Linked DNA regions of Mytilus edulis. The protein of the gene in region 1 interacts with the protein of each later gene in a pairwise test. Links are inferred from orthologs where the notes say so. Each region holds a gene or a part of one and is shown in the gene's direction. Other genes may lie near its edges. The genes, in order: coatomer subunit beta'-like, coatomer subunit beta-like and coatomer subunit alpha-like.

The links.
Region 2: the proteins of coatomer subunit beta'-like (region 1) and coatomer subunit beta-like interact in a two-hybrid assay, tested with the Homo sapiens proteins (2 studies listed by BioGRID, with this or other methods). The link is inferred for Mytilus edulis from reciprocal best matches to the Homo sapiens genes COPB2 and COPB1.
Region 3: the proteins of coatomer subunit beta'-like (region 1) and coatomer subunit alpha-like interact in a two-hybrid assay, tested with the Homo sapiens proteins (2 studies listed by BioGRID, with this or other methods). The link is inferred for Mytilus edulis from reciprocal best matches to the Homo sapiens genes COPB2 and COPA.

What each region holds. Positions count from the first base shown.
Region 1 is NC_092356.1:64,947,672-64,955,498, forward strand, and holds the start of coatomer subunit beta'-like, read left to right. Parts: upstream 1-4,805; 5' UTR 4,806-4,891; coding exon of another isoform or gene 4,892-4,894; intron 4,895-7,504; coding exon of another isoform or gene 7,505-7,604; coding exon 7,605-7,814; intron 7,815-7,827. Other genes in the region: transmembrane protein 107-like, read right to left, coding at 4,430-4,513. UniProt on the Homo sapiens protein: The coatomer is a cytosolic protein complex that binds to dilysine motifs and reversibly associates with Golgi non-clathrin-coated vesicles, which further mediate biosynthetic protein transport from the ER, via the Golgi up to the trans Golgi network.
Region 2 is NC_092353.1:31,908,731-31,916,523, forward strand, and holds the start of coatomer subunit beta-like, read left to right. Parts: upstream 1-4,791; 5' UTR 4,792-4,885; coding exon 4,886-4,891; intron 4,892-5,989; exon of another isoform or gene 5,990-6,038; coding exon 6,039-6,141; intron 6,142-6,747; coding exon 6,748-6,977; intron 6,978-7,368; coding exon 7,369-7,538; intron 7,539-7,793. Other genes in the region: uncharacterized protein, read right to left, coding at 425-579. UniProt on the Homo sapiens protein: The coatomer is a cytosolic protein complex that binds to dilysine motifs and reversibly associates with Golgi non-clathrin-coated vesicles, which further mediate biosynthetic protein transport from the ER, via the Golgi up to the trans Golgi network.
Region 3 is NC_092345.1:20,017,077-20,025,155, reverse strand, and holds the start of coatomer subunit alpha-like, read left to right. Parts: upstream 1-5,026; 5' UTR 5,027-5,150; coding exon 5,151-5,190; intron 5,191-6,254; coding exon 6,255-6,368; intron 6,369-8,079. UniProt on the Homo sapiens protein: The coatomer is a cytosolic protein complex that binds to dilysine motifs and reversibly associates with Golgi non-clathrin-coated vesicles, which further mediate biosynthetic protein transport from the ER, via the Golgi up to the trans Golgi network.

The sequences.
Region 1 (7,827 bases):
ATTACCATTTCAGGGGCAGCAACCCAACAACGAAATGTCCGATTCATCCGAAAATTTCAGGGCAGATAGATCTTGACCTGATGAACAATAATACCCCATGTCAGATTTGCTCTAAATGCTTTGGTTTTTGAGTTATAAGCCAAAAACTGCATTTTACCCCTATGTTCTATTTTTAGCTATGTCGGCCATCTTGGTTGGTTGGGCGGGTCACCGGACACATTTTTTTAAATAAGATACCCCAATGATGATTATGGCCAAGTTTGGTTAAATTTAGCCCAGTAGTTTCAGAGGAGAAGATTTTTCTAAAAGATTACTAAGATTTACGAAAAATGGTTAAAAATTGACTATAAAGGGCAATAACTCCTAAAGTGGTCAACTGACCATTTTGGTCATGTTGACTTATTTGTAGATCTCACTTTGCTGAACATTATTGCTGTTTACAGTTTATCTCTATCTATAATAATATTCAAGCTAATAACCAAAAACAGCAAAATTTCCTTAAAATTACCATTTCAGGGGCAGCAACCCAACAACGAAATGTCCGATTCATCCGAAAATTTCAGGGCAGATAGATCTTGACCTGATGAACAATAATACCCCCATGTCAGATTTGCTCTAAATGCTTTGGTTTTTGAGTTATAAGCCAAAAACTGCATTTTACCCCTATGTTCTATTTTTAGCCATGGGGGCCATTTTGGTTGGTTGGCTGGGTCACCGGACACAATTTTTAAACTAGATACCCCAATGATGATTGTGGCCAAGTTTGGTTAAATTTAGCTCAGTAGTTTCAGAGGAGAAGATTTTTGTAAAAGTTAATGCAGGACGACGAAGGACCACGGACGACAACGACGGACACCGGACGCCAAGTGATGAGAAAAGCTCACTTGGCCTTTCGGCCAGGTGAGCTTAAAACAGGTAAATTTTTCGCTAAAATGGGCTATCGAAAATACAGGTGACCGGATTTATCCAGTGCTTAAATGGGCTCTAATGTAGCCGCTCGAATGTCCCCTAGTAGTTTTAATTTTTTCCCTCAAATGTCCTGCGCCCGACCAGCCATCCTATCAATACAGATGTTGTTTCTGATAATTTTAGCAACATACATATGTATTTAGTCCCTTGATCATTAGTATTGTATATTTAAAGCTACAATAAAATTAAATCACTTAGTCTAGTGATAATTTGTACTACTATCTTAAGGGTGACTAAAAGAAAGAAAACTCTTACTTCCAACATTTGTAGATTGGACATAATGTTAATTGATTCAGTGATTTAGAAAATCACTCATTTAAGTTAGTCCTGACTGATTGACATTATACACCTCATAACTATTTATCAGCCTTAACTGGACATCACAAAAGTTCCTATAAAATTTTGACGTCATAATAGAAAATATCTGAAGCCACAATGGAAAAGTGATTGTGGTATGACATCAAAAGTTCAAGCGAGACAGATTCTCCGGTCATGATATGAAAATTAATGTAACCTTATTTTGTGTAACAGTATCAATATTACCAGCTACATGTATACATCCTTGTCAGACTTTGAAGGACTTGGACATGCTTTGCAGTTATTGCATGATTTGACTGGTTTGGCCTACATAAAGATAAACTGATATGGGATCCGGAAATCTAAGTCACAATTTAACTTCTTTTTTTTCCATTAAAAGTTTGATTTCATTTTTTTACACCAGGAATCACAGCAGAAATGAATGTCTCACTATCCTTATAAAACAATAAAATCGAAATTTGAAAAACAAGAATGTGTCCCAAGTACACGGATGCCCCACTCGCATTATCATTTTCCATGTTCAATGGACCGTGAAATTGGGTAAAAAATCAAATTTGGCCTTAAAAGTAAAAAGATCAACCAAAAGGGAACATGTGTACTAAGTTTCAAGTTGATTGGACTTTAACTTCATTGAAAACTACCTTCACCAAAAACTTTAACCTGAAACTCACACTTTTAATTTCTATGTTCATGATCAGTGGACCATGAAAATGGGGTCAAAAGATTAATTTTGTTTTAAAATAAGAAAGATCATATAATAAGGAACATGTGTACTAAGTTTCAAGTTGATTGGACTTTAGCTTCTTCAAAAACTACCTTGACCAAAAACTTTAACCTGAAATGGGACGGACGGACGAACAGACAAACGGACAGACGGACGGACGGAAGGACGCAGAGACCAGAAAACATAATGCGGCTTATGCCCCTCTATTATCGTAGGTGGGGCATGAAAACAATTCTTATAAATCATGTAAATTGGAACTAAGGATTTGTACAAATACTCATTAGAGTGATTAAAATGACTGTAAGGAGGTTGTAAAAAAAAATGAAGAATAGATGACATTGACTTTCAATATTAAATTTATTTTGTCGAAAATACGTTCAAATAAAGAAACTACATTGTACATACATGACATACAATGACATAGAAACTTCAAAAAGTTTGTTACTGTTTGAGGAATATTGAAATTCAAATTTGAACTGTCTGGAAGAAAACAATTTTCATGAAATGACTAAACGTACTACATTGTGGTTGTTCAAATGCTGACTGACTGATTTTTCTGGGGAAAACAATTATTATAAGAAGGTTAATTATCATAATTATATTTGTGGTTAAATATGATCCATTAGTGACCAATCGGATGGTGATAAGCGGATAAGCTGTTACAAATCACAACTTGTAACACCTGTTGTACAAATGTAAATGTTAATTACCGGCTCAGGGCCAGAAACTTGAACACAATTATATTTTTTATACAAAAATATTATTAGACCTTCAAACATGTCATGATTTAAGAGACGAAATTGATTTGAAATCCTTTCAACATTTTGAAAACCATTTTGTGAATGACGAAATGATGGAACACTAGCAAAATCACTGCAGGTTGGACAGATACGAATCCGGGTCCATTCGCGCCCATTCACGTTTGCACCCACTCATGATCGCCCCCTTTCACTTTCGCACACTATATGTTCGCACTGAAAGTCCGTTCGCACATTACATGTTCGCGCCCAATTTTTATTGGTTTTGTGTTTAACAACTTTGTAATCAAGTTTTGGAAAGTGTATTCCTATCAGAATATTTGTTGTCATTGTCTCATTATAAAGTGAGACAGCATTATTTTTTGTGTTGAATAAATCTCATTTGGATAGTGTATTGTTAAAAAAAATAACAATCCTTTCTAAATAATGTTGGAATCTGTCAACGTTTTATTTTGTGCTGAATAACTCTTAATCATGTTTTGGTTAGTGTATCGCTGTAACTTTGTTTCAATCATTGACTTAGGCCATAATAAATAAAAGGTTTGTTTGCCCAAACACTTCCTACCAAGAAAAAAAGCTGCCTACTCAAATTCTTTTATTGTCCTGATTTGAAGAAGTTTTTTTTTTTTATCAAATAGGCATGAAGACTAATTAACATCTGATACTTCAATTTCTTTTTTTGAAAGAAAAAAAAATGCCTACCTACCTACCCACTGTCTCAACCTTTGGGTAGGGTTTGGGCAAACCAAAATATTTTTAAGTCTGGCCTTGTTTCAAAATAAAGTGAAATTCTAACTACGTTTTCTTTTTGTGTGTTGAATAAATTTTATCATTTAAATCAGGACAATAAAAGAATTTGAGTAGGCAGCTTTTTTTCTTGGTAGGTAGTGTTTGGGCAAACAAACCTTTTATTTATTATGGCCTAAGTCAATGATTGAAACAAAGTTACAGCGATACACTAATCATGATAATAGTGTATTGCTATATTTTATTGTTTCATTGTTTCAGATCAAAGGGACCAAGCTGTTAAAAACAATTATCTTTTGTGTTTTTCATTTAAAATCTTCAATGTTTTACTCATACATTTTACTAAGCTAAATACCTATGCAGTTTAAAACAACAATCATGATTTTCTAATTATTCAACTGGAATTTGATCTAAAATTGGGCGTGAACATGTAGAGTGCGAACAGACCTTGGGTGCGAACGTGCGAGGAGCAGACGTGTAGGGTGCGAAAGTGTATTGGGCGCGAACGGACCTGATACACCTTATTGCTAATCCCGTCTGACCCCAGAATCTGTCCCACTTGAACTATTGACGTCATACAACAATCGCTTTTCCATTGTGGCGTCAGATATTTTGTATTATGACATCAAAATTTTACGTGAACCTGTATGATGTCCAGTAAATTGTAATGGCGGGCAAATAGCGATAAGGTGAATTACAAAATAGAGACAAGGTGTATACACCTTATCGCTATTCCCGGCTGACCCGTCCGCTTGAACTTTTGACGTCAACAACAATCACTTTTCCATTGTGGCGTCAGACATTTTGTTTTATGACGTCAAAATTTTACGGGAACCTGTGTGATTTCCAGCAATGGCGGACAAATAGCGATAAGGTGTATTGTAAACAGTATTATTGTGTAAAGTTTACTTACTTTTGACCAAAATAAAACTATGACTATCACAAGATGGGCGACAATTGTGAGAAATCTTGCTGGAACAAGACCACTTATTCTCATTTTGACTATATCTGAAGTATATGTATAATTTCCTTGTAATTTGTATTAAGTTGGAACCAAGAATTTACAAATTACGACAGTATACTTCGAATTCTTGCCAAGTGTTGTTTTAACTCCTTAAATATGCGTAACCATTCAGTTTTGCTTTTACAATAAAATGGTTATGTCTTTGATGACAACTTGCTATTCACGATGTACACAATGCATAAGTATAAAAATATTGGTATGTCTAAGCTTGTTTGGCGGCCATTTTCAAACAAATCATGTTTAACTTCCGAGTCCGGTCACGCTTGCGCATTCACTGTGGACACGTCTCTTCATCCAGGTTGAAACTGAACCGGCGAAACTTATTTGTTTACAAACTTATAACCCAAGAGAATGGTAACGAATAACTATTTTAGAATTTTATAACGCATGAGCTTCTCGATATGTAGTAGCTGTCAGGTTTAGGGGCGAAATATAGTAAAGATCAACGTTTAATGTGAAAAGGGGGGATATGGACCATTGTTGACACATTTTTTAACATTACATATTTTGTAGGTTACCGAAAATTATTGCAATTAGACATTAAGTGTAAAGCAGAACGACACTAATTTGATAGTCATTTATGAAATGTGGTCATAATCATAATGCATTATTGGTTGTAAGCTAATCATTTTTGTACCACTGGGGCACTGCCATACACCTTATCGCTAATCCTGGCTGACCCGGCCGCTTGAACTTTTGACGCATAGAACAATCACTTTTCCATTGTGGCGTCAGATATATTGTTTTATGACATCAAAATTTTACGGGAACCTGTGTGATATCCAGTAATGGCAGACAAATAGCGATAAGGTGTATTTCGTACCCTATGCCTATGGGCCAAAGCATCTATCAATTTGTCCCTCATGAACTAAATACATGTTAACTATTTTGTATCATTTACCAACAGTCTTGGTAAATGATAGTAATATTTAATAAATATCAAATCTGTTTGTTTTTATACACCCGTTTACTGGACGTATTATGGTATACTGTTGTCTGTCCTTCCGTCGTCAATTTGTTGGACAATAACTCAAAAACGCTTGAATGTTATTAATTTAATCATGATTGAGTAATTGTACAATAAGTGCATGTGGAGTACATACATCAATGAAATAGTACAGGCCTCTACAATAACTTTTTTTTCAACTTGTCCAGTCATGCCAGTAGGACAAGTACATACCAAAACTTACTTGTCCCAATGAAATTGTTACTTGTCCAAATTTTTTTAATAAAAAATAACCTTTTTACATTTTAAGTTGATTAAAGGAACAAAACGAATTTAAACAATAGAACAGAATTTGATGTATTTCTTTTGAAATACTTTTCAAAAATATGAGTCAAGTACAACTGAATCTAGTCATGTCACAGGACTTAGGTTCTAGTTTTCATCAATGCCAGCTGTCTCATCAGACTCTAAACATGAGGCACCATCTGATAGGCCTGTACACTCATTGGATTTGTATCCTGGTTTTTTTTTTAAGTTGAAAAAAGTTTATTCAAATGCAATCAATAAAAAGAAGAAGATAAGGTCTGATTGCCAATGAGACAACTCTCTTCAAGAGACCAAAATGACACAGAAATTAACAACTAAAGGTCACCATTTTGCAAGTATTGTTTTTTTTTTACCTATGATCAAATATGATTTTGTGAATTTTATGAAATTATGGTTAATACAAAAAATTATGGAAAATAAAAAAAAATATTTTTGTGAAAAAATTACCTGTATGGTATTTATTATAAAGAACAGAATAAGGAAAGAAAATGAGGAACTGATTTGTCTTGGTCCCGAAATGTCTCCTGCCTTGCCAAAGTGTCTATCAATCATTTCCACTAAATTTGTCTCCTACGGTGCCAAACTGTCTATTAAACTTTGAGCTAAACCTGTCGAAGTGAGAACTGTCCTGTAAAGTTACCTAGTCTACAAAACCCAGCATTGATTATTCGGATCAGTAAGGCTGGTTTCCGAGAATAGTATAATGTACCAGTGTTCTCCCCAGATATTTCATTTAGCATCCTGGTAAATAGGGGAAATTAAAATACCATCTTGTTTCTGAAATTTATAGCATCACATCCATAACATAATCTATAAGAAAACCAATTCAAATAGCATCACATTTAAGATTATAGCATCACATTACCATGATGCTAAAAGGCCCTGGGGAGAACACTGAGTACCTTTCACCTGTTAAAAGGTACCTGACAAAGGACAAGTTAAAAATTATCGATTGCAAGTAAACATGCTAAAAAAAAGGTTTTGCATTTCAATAAACAGAATACAGAAACATGTCAAACTAATTTTTGTTTTTTGTTTATTATTATACTTTGTTCATCAAAGTTGGATGAAATTTATTTTCTGCAGAATAATTGTACTTGTTCCAACGGACAAGCTTGATACAGCTTTTACTTGTCCGACCTTTTTTCCCTCTGGTATCGGACAAGCGTTATTGTCGAGGCCTATAGTATCCAAACCTTCTAAAATGATAAACAATAAAACATACAAAACTTCCATGAGGTGAAAAATGGTAAACATACAAACCTAACATGATGAGATAAGAAATGGTATACATTGTACATATAAGTTGTCCATGAGGTACGAAACCATGGATATGGGATATAAAAATCCAATCTCTGTCACCCACTTTTCCTATGTTGATAATATTAAAAACCAGAAATTTTAATAATATATTTCTAATTAACAATGGTCTTCTACATGTACATGTATGTATCTTTCTTATGTCATGTTATTAAGTTTGTGCATGCTTCTTCTTCTTGTTATGGAAAAAGTACTCTTGTATCTGGAGAACTTCTGTGATGGGTTAAAAGGAACTACCAAACAACAGTTGAAAGGATATATAGTATTAAAATAATATGAAATCTAGTATTTACAGCTCTACACTGTTCATTCTTACATATACTTACTTAAACATGATCAACATCTAATATCTAATGAATTATGTATTGCAGCCGTTACGTTTGAATATAAAGCGGGTTTTGACAGCCCGATCAGATCGTGTTAAAAGCATGGGTCTGCACCCAACTGAACCATGGATGATGGCTAGTTTGTATGATGGCAAGGTGGTCATTTGGAATTTTGAATCTCAGGTATATAACTATTGACTTTTATTATTCTTTTCAGCCGCTACGTTTGGATATAAAGCGGAAGCTGTCAGCTAGGTCTGATCGTGTCAAATCTGTGGACTTGCACCCTACAGAGCCATGGATGTTAGCCAGTTTATACAATGGAAATGTACACATTTGGAATTTTGAATCCCAGGTATCTCAAAGTT
Region 2 (7,793 bases), on another chromosome or scaffold:
TTCGCTGAAATTTGGCTTTCTTTTACTATTTCTTACCTTTTGAACATTTAACTCAAAGCTTTTGTAAATGCCTTAAATGGTTAAATTTGCTGAATGTTTGTTTTTTCATTCAATATAATCTAGGGTATAAGGTGAGAGTTGAAATCTGACAGGATCCTCTAGCCTACATGTATGTTAGTTATTAGCTTTTTTTTCAAATTTTGGTTCATTTGTAGTTTTGGTGTTTAATGTGGGATCCAGTCTGCTGAACTTAGCTAGTATACATGATTGTTTTGGTAGAGGAATTTGTTGCTGCATTGATTAGGACCATTGTTGTCCTTGAACTGTTTCGTACTCTTTAATCCGTTTGCAATAATTCTTTTTGACATATTCCGGGTTTAATTTTTTTCTCTATATTAATATACTTTATTTCATTCAATATTACCATGTCACAAAGGTACTTAGAGATGCTCTTCTATGAGCCTCTAGTACTGTCTGGAGGTCTTCCTCACTCTCAACCCATCCTTTCATCCAAGTCTTCTGGTCATCTACCTCAGGATCTTGGAGGCATCTTGGAACCCAGGCTGTATTGTCATCCATTATACCTAATCAATAAGAGCCAACATAGTAACGTATATAAGAGTTGTACATTTATCTTAAAATCTTAAATATTGTTGTACTAGCACATGATTTTTAAAGGCACAGCTTGCTATAGTTAGGTAGTCAGTATAAAAGTTGGGAAAAGAATAGTTAGCTAACAATTTATATCAAAAACCAAGAATCTTCAATTTGCTTACTTAAGCTTGTTTCAATTTTAAAAAGAGGCCTGCCAGATAATAAATCCATTTTTTCCACCAAATTTTTTTTTACAAGCCAATTTTACAAATGCGTCATTTAGGAATAGACTGTATCATACATGTGTATGTAAATTTCCATTGTAATTCTACCACAAAATAAGTTTCACAAAATTTATGATTTATAAGATTTACGATTTTTAATAAGAAGAAACTTAAAATTTGACAAAGATGTAATAAGCACACCTACATATTGTGCACCCCAAACATGCAAAATCTCATTAGCAAATCCTACCTGTATAGTTGAGCCATAATAAAAAAAGGCAATACCAAATGTAAAATTGTTTTGAGCTATGAAGTCCTTAGCATATATATAATTGAGAGAACCAATGATATAGCCTTCCCCAATCAAAATACAAAATTATACTTTTTTTAATATACTATATAAACCAAATAAAAGACCCTCGTATGTTGATCAATATAAATCCAAATCTGATAGATCAACATTATGTAAATTAAGGTTTAGTGCTCATACTTTATCTATTGAAAGCGGGCGATATCTAAAAATACCAAAGCAGAGTAGAGTATATGTCTTTCCTGCAACAGTGGAGACATTGGAGATGAACTACACTTCCTTTTAAAATGTTCATTCTATAACTAACAACGTGAGAGATAATAAATTAACCTCATTAAAAAAAAAGTCTATTGAACAACATATTACCTTCTTTATCATATAACTTGTTAAAATGAATGCTAGTTGGTGACAAACTCATTATTAAAAGGTACTTGATTTCTGTAATGATTTATATGCTTCTCTTTTATATAATTTTCCCATAATTATCCACTGTCACTTCTTCGTTGTATATATGTTATTGTAGTGGTATCCAGTCGTTCCGTCCCCAAACCCATTCAGCCTCAGGTAAATTCGGCCCCAAGTCAATCCACCCCCAAGTCAATCCGGCCCACGTCGACCCGGCTCAAGTCGATCCGGCCCAATAATAATTTATAAGGAATAAACTATAAAGACTTTTAATTAGTATAAATCGAATTTGTAAAAAGTATCAATAATGGATGACAACAGGTAAGTTTGAATATATTTGGAGTACCAGAAAGATGAAATATTTTAAGTCGATACGAAAATGGTTGTGATTGTATTTTTTTTTCAGGTAACATCAGAGGCTTCTATAACACTTGTCTAAGAACTTCACACAAAAAAAAATTTGTATGTATCAGCTTGGGGATCGGCTTGTACCGTTGTGTATGTAACTATTTGTTATTACACAGGATGAAAGACTTGTTAAATTAAGATCACATCAATTGAAAGAAATTGATAATTTAAAACTGCTGATTAATGTTGATGTCTGTTGATTGTCCTAAATTTTGTTATATTTTTTTTTAATATAATTATACCCAATAATCTAAAAAACTTGTAGTGAAACATTTTTTTTTAACATACACCTTTTACATTATAATAAATTCATTAACTTTACGAGTTACAATTAATATCTTTATTTTTATTCCTTATAAATATATTTTTTATTGGGCCTGACGTTGGGCCATATCGATGTGGGGACTGATCGACTTGAAAGCATTGTAGTTTGTCTTTAATTTGTTGTCATAACCATTTATTGTCAATGCCTAAGTCATTGTAAACTTGTACTAAAAAAGTTATCTTATCTTATCTTATAATGATTTTCAAAAATATACTTTCTTTTACATTCTTCACTCAAGTTTTTCAATTACACATGACTAAACACTCTGCCCTTTTCATATGATAATAATTTTCCCGTTTTAGTGTAAACTAGTACGGTACAGTAGTCTCAGATGATCATGATAGATCTAAATTTAATTTGTAAAGGTTTGTTTTTTCTGTTATGAATATCAAAAGTAAGGTGTATTATTATCATCTTTTTTGTGTAGGTTTGGGGTAAGTGTTAATTACCTGTATTAGCTTGTATCTATGATATAAATATGTCTCTGTCTCCTAATTTTGACATGCTGTCTGAACTTCGTCTGTCTATTAACAATTATATACCTCCTTATTGAAGAGTTTAGTAAATATCGCCCGTTTTTGTCAGTTACATTCTTTTCGGTAATCTACTGAATTTTATCTCTGACGTATGACATGAGATCCCAAGTATCTAACGGAGGCCGAACGTAACTTCCGGCCACGTTAAGCACTTCCTGTCGGCGACCAGAATTTCATTTGCTGGAAGATTCAAAGGTTTGTTAAACACCTACTATTAACAAGTATCAAATAATATATCTTTACGTTGAATTTGTAATTTAGAACTTCCACGTATACTGGACACAAAAGTGAAGGAACATTTTGATCACATTCTCAATATGTTTTCTTTCCAACATTTGTTATCTGTTTAGTGGAAGTTGTCACAATGCTCACATTAATCTGTACCGATACAGGCTCCAAATGTCCTCCTTTATACGCCATAACTATGGTGGTGCTCCTATTTAAAGGAGGCTCATACGGAGACAAGAAGACAAGTTATCTTGATAGGATTCAAAAACTTCAGCTTTATTGGTTTATGTTGATATCCATTAATTGCTGATTAATTCTAACATAAACCTACAATTACAGTTTTGAATTTGGTACAATATCCTGCTTATAATTTGTTCGTTATGTCCTTTCAATCAGAAACACTAATAGTATTATAGTCCAACATAATAAATTTACCAGTGAAAGGGGAAGAATTCTGTGTACATTATTTTTTAATAGTCAAATACTTATAATTTAAAATCTGTTAAAAAAAGAAACTAAAATACTGAAACGTTTCCGATGTTGGTCCTGTTGTTAGGGATTTTAAAAATTGTGACATCATTTTTAATGAAAACAAAGAAACGCTATCCTGATGATGTTACGTTTTTTCGTATCTAAGACAAAGAATGATCAAAAACAACAATTTTACAGAACAAGTCTCATGACATACAAGACCAGAAGAAAGAAAGAGATGTCTGTGCAAATGGGAAAAAATAAGTCTGAAAAATAAAAAGTTAATGATTTTGAGTTCATTACTTAGCTGACATGGAAGAATGAAAACCTTTGATTAATTTTTCTTTTTAATTGATTTTTCTACCGTCATCAGGCCCTCAATACTTAGTTTAGTTCTTGTTTTAGTAGTTAAAGCTGGGAGCAGGTATCAGTTGTGTTATTGACTATTTATCAATAGATTTTCCTTTACATTGAATTGATCCCATGCTAGAAGCCAGAGAAAACTTACACATGTGATCGCTAGGAAGTCATATTTAATAATAAATGAGAGGCGTAGATATCATACAAGGAACAATGAGGAAAGAACCTATCAATAATCATACATGTACAAATGATGTACATGACACATTGAGTAAGGTCTACTAAGGGAGGTAATACAAGTCAATACATGTAACAATAAATCAATAAAATAATCTGTTGCATGTATTGAATTAATGATATTTATTTCAATTGACAATAGGCTGTTCGCCAATTCCCGTAATTGACCCTGTTATAAGAGACCTTTATTTTTTTGGTCTCCCTTTATGAGGGACATTAATTTTTATTTACAATGGAGAGCTCACAGTAAGAGCAAATTTACCTGTGCGTAATGTGAGTAATCTGTAAGGTTTTTAAATCTTTTAATTACATTAATTTGTTGTTTAGCTAAATACTTTTGACATCAGCAATTATTTTTCATGAAAATTTAGTTTAACCGCCGATACATCCCTTCCAATTCATCATGCTTTGCATTGGCAAAAGCCAATTTTGTCTGGTATGGAACCAGTCTACGATTGACAAAGGGAAGTCATGGAAGTAGTTTGTTTAAAAAGTGTGTAATAATAGAATCAAATTGGTAATTGGCAAATGGACTATTATGCTGCTACAATTAAAAAGTTGAAATTTTGTTATGGGGCAGAAGAAAAACCATGCAGGACATCCAGTTGCATTTATATTAAATATAAATGTTTTGCACTCTTAGTCTTACACATTGTAAAACTAATAGATTGTGTCAATGTACTCATGAGTCATGTTAAATGCATATTAATCACTTTATCACTGTTTATATTGTATTTACACAATTTTATATTTGAAAAAACTTATTATAAGATACAAACATATCAGGATGACGGTAAGAACAAGTTATTGTGTTTGTTTTGCATGAACAGTTTGTTACTTTTCAATATCAAATAGAAACAATATCTTATCAGAAAGTTAAAGTTTTGAAGAAGTGTAAAATGTATGACAATGTAAAGTTTTACAAATGAGGATAGTACAAGGCATCTGTTCATGCAAAATTATACCTTACACACAAGGTGATTCATTAAGCACTCCTTGCTAGATTTTTTTTATTAGAGAAAAAGGGGGGGAAGGGGTAATGTACTTGTAAATTAGATGATTCATAATTATTTTTTGTCCTGATTTTTTAATGATCTACCTTTACAATGACTTCAGCTCATTAAAACAGAAGTGTTGCTCAAAATCATATTTCACCAAATACTGACTAAGTCACTATCATATCATGAATTATATATATACAAGATATATACATGAGAAAGTCACAAGAATGATAATTGAATCACCATGTGTGTCAACAGGTACTTTAATGGTTGTAGGAAATTAGATTTTTCAGTTAAACATAAACATATAATAATACATGTATATATTGGCCTAGAGTACCAGGTAAATTATGCCTCTTTAAGTTATTGTGCAATGTATTTTTTTTTTAACTTTCCCATATATCATGTATATTGCTATTGATTACTTTATTGTACAAGTAGTTATGGACATATTTTAAAGCCAGTTATATTTTGTAAAAGTACACAAGCGTTCAGTCATTATCTTCCCTAAAATAGTATTTCTAGATCATTGGTTGCAGTACTTGTTTAGTATTTTTTGTTGAACCTTCAAGCTTTGTGATGTGGTGACTGCTTACAAGCAACTAATTGCACTTTTTTTTTTTACCATTCCAAAATGGCAACAACAACAAAAAAACAGATTTAAAACATAGGATTTTGTTAATCTATAGAAATATTGTTCAATTATTATATAAAAGATTTGGTCTTCTGTCTTCATCTTTACTGGTTCCAAATTAACTTCCAATACCATAAAAAAAATCCTGAGATACTTGTTAAAACACTGATCATATAATACACACATGTAAATGGGGAAAAAATCTCTTGTATGAACTTATTCTAGAGCTGTTATCTAAAGATTTTAAATTTTATAGATACATGTACACCTACAAATGTAAAATGCCCATTTGACTTTATTTTCAGAATAAAAAGATGTCTACCTTGGCTGAGCAGCCATGTTATACTCTGATAAATATACCATCAGATGCAGAGCCTCCAACAGAGATGGGACTCAAATCAGATCTAGGTATGGCAATATATATATTGATATAAAACACCAGTGAAATGCAATGTGGATGTTTTACCTGTTCTCAATCTAGAAAGTCAATTTTTTTTATGTAATGTTTTTTGCAACCAAATATACAAGCATGGAACTTTTTTTCTGAATCTACACAATTGTTAATTCTACATACATGTACATGCTTCATATGTACATGTATACAAACAATATAAACAACAAGAAATGGTTTGCCAGCATTGTTCATTAAGGCTGAATACATGTACATGTATCTTGCAGTCTATCTTAAATGACACACAACAAACTACATGAGGACGTAAAAACTTTTAAACAAAAGATGTACATGTATTGGAGTGATTCACATTCAGCAAACTTTTGATATCATGGTTTAATTAATTTTTGATGGCTACATGTAGCTTATCATTTGCTGGTTATTATATGCTCTCCAAATCATTCATGTTTCATGTTTTAGTTTTAATTTATTGATCACAGTATATACAGTTGTATTTAAAGGCATGAAAAGAAACTGATTGAAATTAAATTGTAAAATTTCACTTTTCAAAAGTTGTAGTACATTGTACAATATATATTGAATGATATTTTTTTTTTTATTAGAAAAGGGAGATACAAAAACAAAGATTGAAGCTCTGAAGAAGACGATACAGATGATACTGAATGGAGAGAAGATGCCATCATTATTGATGACTATTATTAGATTTGTCATGCCTGTGAGAGACCATACCATCAAGAAAATGCTGTTAATTTTCTGGGAAATTGTTCCAAAATATAACCCTGATGGCAAAATGTTACACGAGTTTATTCTTGTTTGTGATGCATACAGAAAGGTATGTTTTTTTCTAGGGCTTTAACTTAAAGTGTTCTTCCTAATATAGTGTCATGGTACCAAGGAGCAATAAAGCCTTGGAGAGATCATTTGCATCTGCATTGATGGGAAATGTTAAATTGAAAATAAATTAGATATTTAGCAACAACACTATTTCTTTCTACAAAGATGCAAGTAAGATCTACATGTAAATTATAAATCACTGTACATATATTATTGTTTGTATCTTATTGAGAATTTCACTGAATAATGTATCTATTTTTTTGAGTAAGGATGGTACAATTAAACACGCATGTTTTTGGAATTATTCATTCTTCAAAATGAAACTAAAAGTATAGGTTTATACCTATGTAACGATATATCAAATATAATTCCAATTGCTTCTTTTTCAGGATCTTCAACATCCAAATGAATTTATAAGAGGATCAACATTGAGATTTTTATGTAAACTGAAGGAAGCCGAATTATTGGAACCACTGATGCCAGCAATCAGACAGTGTTTAGAACACAGGCACTCTTATGTCAGGAGAAATGCTGTTTTAGCTATTTATACTATCTATAGGTTTGTACATTCAAAATTTAAAGCGTTAAAAATTGTGTGGAAAGTTAATTAAAATAACTCTGGTCAGACTGATTTTATTTCCAATTACAAGTTGAAAGGAATTTTTTAAAGTTTAATGGTTTTGTCTTACCAATAGATTATTATTTCCCCTCAGCTACAGGCATAATGTTTTACCCTTGTCTCTGTATGTATGTCCGCCTGTCTGCATGTCCCAAAGTTCGTTTCCATTCTTTAACTTTGGTTTGTCTCAACCAA
Region 3 (8,079 bases), on another chromosome or scaffold:
CATTTGTGGATATTTCCTCTAATTCCATATTGGTCTATTTTGTGCAAGCGTCTATCATGAGGTACTGTGTCGAACGCTTTTGAAAAATCCAGAATCGCAATATCTACTTGGTTTCCTTTATCGTAGGATTGTAGCATATCATGGATTGTAATGGCAAGTTGGGTCTCACAGGAATATCCAGATCTAAAGCCGTGGTTTAGTGATGTTAATACATTATGCTTTTCCAGATGTTTGAGTATATGACGGCATATGATGTGCTCAAGGAGTTTACATGGTACTGATGTCAATGAGACTGGCCTGTAGTTTTCGGCCGCGTGTCGGTCTCCTTTCTTAAATATGCTAGAGATGTTTGCATTTCTCCAATCCTCTGGTAGTGTACCACTGTCTAGTGAGAGCTGGAATATGAGTGTTATTATTGGTGCCAGATGTTCGGCGCATTGTTTTAGTACTCTGTTTGGTATGTTGTCAGGACCAGATGCTTTGGATGGGTTTACTCTCTGTAGCAGCTTTTTAACTCCTTCTGATCTGATGGTAATTTGATGTATGGAGTCTTTTACCCTGATGTTTGTTTTGGGTAGTGTTTTAGTTGTTCCTTTTGTGAAGACAGACGCAAATTGCTCCAGTAGAATTTGCGCCTTCTCCTTACTGTCGTTTATGAGCTGTCCATGTTTCTTTAGTGGTGCAACCCCTATATTGTCCTGTTTCCTTGACTTAACATACTTCCAGAAGGGTTTTGTGTTGTTCTTATTCATTCCTTCAATTATAGCGTTGTTAATATAATTGTTTTCTGCTTTCCTAATTTCTCTTTTGCATGTTTTTTGGAAATGGCGGTAGTTTGTCCATGATTTTGTTCTTTTGGCCTGGTTATACAAGTTTTGTTTTTTCTTCAGCATCTTTTTGATCTTTTGTGTTATCCATGGTAGTCTGTTGTTGGACTTGACTATTTTTGATGGTATGTTTTTATCAAGGCTGGCAAATAGGTGTTTCTTGAACATCAGCCATGCTTCGTTGACATTTTGGTTGTTTTGGATGCTGTTGCTTATCTGTGATAATAGTGAATCTAGATCTTTATTCACTTCATCCCAGTTGGCTCTTGCCCAGGTGTAGACTTTCCGAGGATTAGATTTGTAGTAGGAAGGTTTGATGTCCGTATCAGTTATGATGATTGCATGGTCAGAAATACCTGGTATGCTTGTTGATGTTTTCATAAGTGACGGGTTTGATGTGAATACAAGGTCCAGTAGGTTGTTTTCCCTTGTTGGTTCTTCGTGGAATTGTGTAAGGCCAAATTGAGTTGTGATGTTTACGAGCTGTTTTTGAACTTCTGGATCTTGAGCATCTTTCCTAATGGTGAGGTTGTCCCACATTATGTCTGGGCAGTTGAAATCGCCTGCAAGTATGATGTTACTGTTTTTGTTCTCCTCTGTGATTTTTTCCAGAGATTTTTCTAGTTCTTCTAGTTGGGCTTTGTTTCTATGTGGCATGTAGAATGAGCCGATGATTAGGTCTTGGGCTGTTTTTAGTTTGAGCTTTACCCATTCAATTTCACATTTTGTTATGTATTGTGGTTGTTCGGTACTAATCATGCTGTTGTGGACTAGTATGAATACTCCTCCTCCTAAGGTACCCCTGTCATTCCTGAATGATGTGTAGTTATCAGGGAATACTTCAGCAGATTTTATAGCATCTTTAGTCGGATTCTTTCCGGGTTTTACCCCTTTTAGCCAAGATTCTGTGCCAATAATAATATCTGGCTTTGTGTATTGTACACTGAAAATCTAAATTAGTCACGATGACTATTCAGTTAGTCAAATATCAGCCGAAAGGTAGTCAAAAGCATATATGACTACCCACCAAGTCATTATGACTATCTGCATGGTCAATTGACTATGTTAGTGGTCACAGCACCACGTGGTGTAGAGTATCGGTTTTCACGCGCACTCTTTCGCGTTCCCTTTGTTCCATAGATTGTGTAGATGTAAACAAACCAGAAGGCACGGAAACTGTTATTTTGTCAAATAAACCAATTGTTTAAAGTAAGTATGATGTATATATGTTTTAATTCTAACTTACAAAAATTGAATTTAAGAAAAAGAAGTGTATAAATGAAAGTAATATCGGTACATGTTTACGTAACGACAATAAAAAAGGGGGGATATGTATACGGGATATCAATTTTGATACACATACAACGTATTGTCGATTGAAAAGAGTATTTAGCGATATCTTTTTTTTCACCTGAGCAAAAACTGTTAAAAATAAACACTGCAATCGATATTCACAACAATGAATTAAAAACTCAGGGTGGCTGTCAAGATCCTGGTGCTTACATTACAATGCTGTGATATAGGATGGGTAGCTGTGAAGATCCTGGTGCTTACATTACAATGGTGTGTTATAAGATGGGTGGCTGTCAAGATCCTGGTGCTTATATTACAATGTTGTGTTATAAGATGGGTGGCTGTCAAGATCCCGGTGCTTATATCACAACGCTGTGGTATAAGATGGGTGGCTGGCAAGATCCCGGTGCTTACATTACAATGTTGTGGTATAAGATGGGTGGCTGGCAAGATCCCGGTGCTTACATTACAATGTTGTGGTATAAGATGGGTGGCTGTCAAGATTCTGGTGCTTACATTAAAATGTTGTGGTATAAGATGGGTGGCTGTCAAGATCCTGGTGCTTACATTACAATGTTACAATGTTGTGATATATAGGATGGGTGGCTGTCGAGATCACGGTGCTTACATTAAAAATTAATGATATAAGATGTCGAGTGATTAAATCACTAGATCAAAGATTTTAAAATTAGTTTTTTTTTAACTTTTAACATGACTGATATTCTTGTTTATTGTTATATTTTAGCTTCTAAAATGATACAATTATATTTTTCAGCAAATGAAGACATTGTTATTTGTATGAACACAGCTGAGAGATTTTTTACCATAGAGAATACCACACTGACACATGCAGAGTTGATCCCGACAAAATATCTGAAATAAACACTTCAAATTAACAATGAGTTTATAATAAATTTATTTTCTTTATTTGATTTTTAGACTTTAATATATGTCACTGAGTAATAGTTACACACGGAAACTTAAGATATAGGAAGGTTTTGAACATTGAGCACTTTGTGGTCCTATACTATTGTCATTGTTAGTATTGATGCTGTGGTATTTTTAATGATATTATATTCCAGATGTATTTGTCAATCCTATGGAAGAGAAACAACAAAAAGTATAATAACAGAAGAAATGAACCATAACAGAACGAAACGGAATGAAACGCACACAAATTAAATGGTAGAACAAAAAACACAACACAAATTAAAATAACAGTCTAACAGTCGTGACTATTCACAGTAATCATGTTGACTAACCAACATGGTCACTTCCGACTATTTCAATGAGTCATATGGACTGCATTCAATTGTCAAACTGACAAATGTGCATAGTCAATTGAACAATCCAATTCGTCATAACGAGTATGACATATAGTCATTTTGACTTCCTAACATAGTCATAATGACCACCCTACTCCGTCAAATGTGACTAACCATCTAGTCAAACGACTAAGAGCATAGTCAAAATGATTAAAGTGCATTGTCATCTAGAGGACAGTCAAAATGACTAATTAAATTGGTCAAATTGACTAATTTAGATTTTCAGTGTAATGTTGTTTTGAATTCTGAGGTTTTATCTTTGATGCTTCTACAGTTTACCGTCATGATTCTGAGGTTTCTTTTATTGGTGATGTTAAAGGGTGGTGGTGTTGTGTCCTTTATGCTGTTTCTTGTACTGTTTGCAACTGACCGATTTTTGGTAATTGATTTGTCTTTTGGACTACTTGTTACAAGTGGACTAAATGATGAAGAAAAGGTGTCCATAAAGCTGAGATCTGTTGTTAGAGGTTCGTAATAGCTTATGTTTTCAATCTCGTATGCATGGTAAGTGAATGAGGATACATTTAGGCTGTCACATTTGCAGCACATCCATTGCACGTTTGATCTTTGTAGAAGTTCGTAATCTGTCGTGCACAGTTCGATGCATGAGCGGTGGTGCCATATGCTGCAACAATCGCAACATACTCCCTCTGTTGACCATGTAACGGGTCTTTCACACAAACCACATGGGAAGACGTTTGCTGTTTTTGGACCTGGATTTGATTCAATGTCACCTGATAGTAGTATGATGAGCAGTGCTGTTGTTAAGTTTTGCCTTGCATGTATTGGTAATGATATTGGCCTTCTTCCGCTATGATGTAATTTCGGGTTTAGCAAGTTGACTAGATTTTGTTTTGTTGACCCTGTATGTGCATTTATGATATGCAGGGCTAATGAGCTGGCTAGGAAAAGTAACAGTGTATACTTCATGTTGTAACTAATATAGCAAGGGAGATCCTTACTGATTGTTGTTGTTATGAGGTTTTATCAGTATGTACAATGTAGCAAGGGAAATCCTTACTGATTGTTTCTGTTGTGTTGGTCCAATGTAGCAAGGGAGATCCTTACTGATCGGTTAAGTTGCATGTAAAATGTAGCAAGGGAAATCCTTACTGATTTTGTCTTGAAGTGGCGGTCCAATGTAGCAAGGGATATCCTTACTGCCGAGTTTGGATTGTTTAAAGTTTATGTTTAATAGATATAGCAAGAGTAATCCTTACTGCTTAACATGATTTGGATGAATGAGTTGATTAGAACACTAAATATATACACTTATCAAGGAAAAAACTGCCAAAAATATACAAAACTGGTGAATAAAACCCAGCGATATGGATTCCACCTGGAACATTAAAAAAATCACATATTCTTAAAAATAGAGAGCATTTCATATTATTTTTTTTTTTTGCTTAATTACTTTATTATGGTATTTTTTATTTTGCTGTACATATATTTATTCTGCGGTGATATTTATTATTGTTGTTCGCTGGTCGCTAATAATGCGATAATAAAGTTATAAAAGATTTCCCACCAAGAGCCTCTTCAGAGCCTGAGGTGAAATGATTGCTCCCTTACCGTCAATTTACTCGGTCAGGGAACCAGTCAAAACAGTAACTTCCGGTTTTACGTGGAACTGCCATAGTGGAAATTCTGCCGGTTGTACACAAATTATAGTTATTTACGAGTAACAGAATCATCTTATGGCATTATGTTGACGAAATTTGAAACCAAATCTGCAAGAGTGAAAGGTGAATGAAAGCATTTTTTTTGTCCAAAAGGCTTTATTTTCCAGTTACAAGGTGTAGACGCTTTAAAATGTGACAAAACTTCATAAAATCATAGACACAGGCATATTTTTCTATCTTACAAATTATATATCATCGACATCCGATGATTACACATTGTCTGCATACGTGGACTATTTAGAAAATTTGACCCATTTATTAAACGAAATATGATCTTCAATCTTTTTTCTTGATGACACCTGGGGTAATCTCTCTTATAAATTATTCGCTTTTGTAAATTAAAATCACTAATGTATTTTATTTATGTGCTTTGAAAATATCAATATACACAATGAATATGTTGTCTTATCAAATATCAATACTGTTGCAGGTCATAATTTAAAGATGGTATATTTTGATATATTATAAATATTGATTCACTAATAGGGGTTTGTCTTTTCACCACCGAACATCACTGCACACCGCCTACCACCACCGAACACTCCAAAAGACCACTAAACTTTAAGGAAAACAGTAATGTTTCACAAAACAAATCAATTAAATTATGTAATATTATTCCCATTTCTCATGTTTTTTCATATTTTTATGTGCATTTTTAGTGATTTTATTATTAAAGTTGAGAATCAAATTTAAAAAAAGGCTGCCATGTTTGATGGTGTTCAGTGCTAAAAAAGACCTACCGCACTCATAGGGTCTTTGCCTCAGAAATAAACACATATTCTAAAACCAGTTGTTGGCATGATACAGGTTGTGTTCTTCTCGTAGATTTTATGATGGTTTGATACAAAACCTACATCTACATCATTGAAATGCAAAGGGTTTAAGACCCATCACGCAAGTACTAATTAAGTCATTCAATATGGTGCTCATTAAAAAAATATTTACATGTGTGAAATTTCGCCTTTTCAGAATCTAAATGACTATGGGTAATCTCATCTGTTTGTTAGTTTATGTATCATTGTCATTGTGCTAAATGTTTTTTTTGTTACCTATTCCTACAATGTACGTATTGATGTTTAAGGCTGTTGATATCACACTTAGTTGAAACTGTATGTTTGCTATTTCAGGTCTTACTTTTCATCCTAAGAGACCATGGGTGCTGACAAGTTTATTCAATGGTGTTATCCAGTTATGGGACTACAGAATGTGTACATTGATCGACAAGTTTGATGAACATGATGGTAATACATTATACCTTTTATAGTACCAGTGTTCTCCCCAGGCCGTTTTAGCACAGCACTTTTCAGCGCTATTGCAATTCCCCGCTGTCCTATTGCACTGACCGCAGCGCTATCCAACGCAACGGCGTCGCTATATTTTTTTCAAATTTCCCGCTTATTTTTCACTTCGGATCACGTGATCGACTGGTTTACGATTTTTGAATGAATTATTTCCGTTGTATTAAAGTAACTTCACAGGACCAGTCTAATAAATTTTACAAAAATGGCGTTTTTGGAAGATCAAAATAAACAAAGATTTCAGAATACAGATTTCAACATTGACATCGATTTTTTTAATTTAAAGAAAATATAGAGGCATATATGAATGAAATGTGATGAAATGAATTGACCGCATTTCCTGACGTCACTCACAAACTTGTTTTACGAACTTTGAACAAACGATCATTTTAAAAACGATCAAACACAGGGGTTTGTTACAAATTATTTGCAGGGTTTACTATCCATACGAACCCCGAAAATGACCAAGTCTTTTAAATATTAATTATCCCCTATTCGAACTTATAATTTAGTCAGAAATTCTTCCATTTGATAACAATTTGAGAGGATATGATTAGCAAAACAAACCCCAAGCTGATACGACTTGAGAAATTTTACTTTCTCGATGTCCAGCTTGGATGAGGCCATTTAAATATTATAAAACGTTTAGGTCATAAAAATGAGAAATCTTTATGCTAAAAAATGTCAATTCCTGTCAAACGTCGTAAGGTAAACAGTACACTGCTACAGTTTGTTACAAAACCAAACAGAAGCTGACAATGACTTTATTGTTGGTCCTACATGTTCTGCAACATTACCTGATGGTGCTAAGAAATCTTGGCACAGGCAGTCTGGTGTAGATCCATCATAGAAAAAGACTCTTCCTTCAGTTTTATACATAGATAGTATGAGGATTTAATATATGAATTTACAATGGAGAAAAAAAGACTCTTCAGACTTCTATATCCAGACAATAACATTAACAAACAAAGCATCATTAAGGGATACACTGTAACTTCCATGAGCATGACAAGGACATCATAACAAGAGGAAATATCAACAGCATGATATAATAAAAACACATAACAAATCAATTACAAACAAACCGAGCGCCGCGATAAAGTTACTGAGAATTGTCGAAAATTACGCGCTTACCACAGCGCTATCAAAAAATCCTGGGGAGAACACTGAGTACAATGTAGTATTACATAATTATATTTTTTCCACTAGTCTTACAACTGTACTTTCATTTTATAAAAGGTTAACCAACACCTGAAGTGGTAATCGTGCAGTTTTGTAATAGTGGGGGGATACCGAGAGGTATTCACAGTTGTCTTTCACTAGATAAGTAAAATAAAACGAAAATTAAGACAACAACACCCATCAATTACTGCATGGTAAGAGTTTATTCAGGTCAACAGATTTCACAATCAACTGTACTTTAATTTGGATGCATATCTTTAGTACTATAGAAGATTTAAAGAATAAACAGAAAAGATAAAAGTATTTATCAATTAAAAACTTAATTTCAATAAAAAAAAACTATTATTTTTAGTCATTTTCATCATATTCATTACTTCTCTTAAATAATTTAACAAATGGGAGTAACTTAAATCAATGAACTGAATCATTGACATAGCAGTTGTATAAATTGATTGTAACATGTCACATGTAC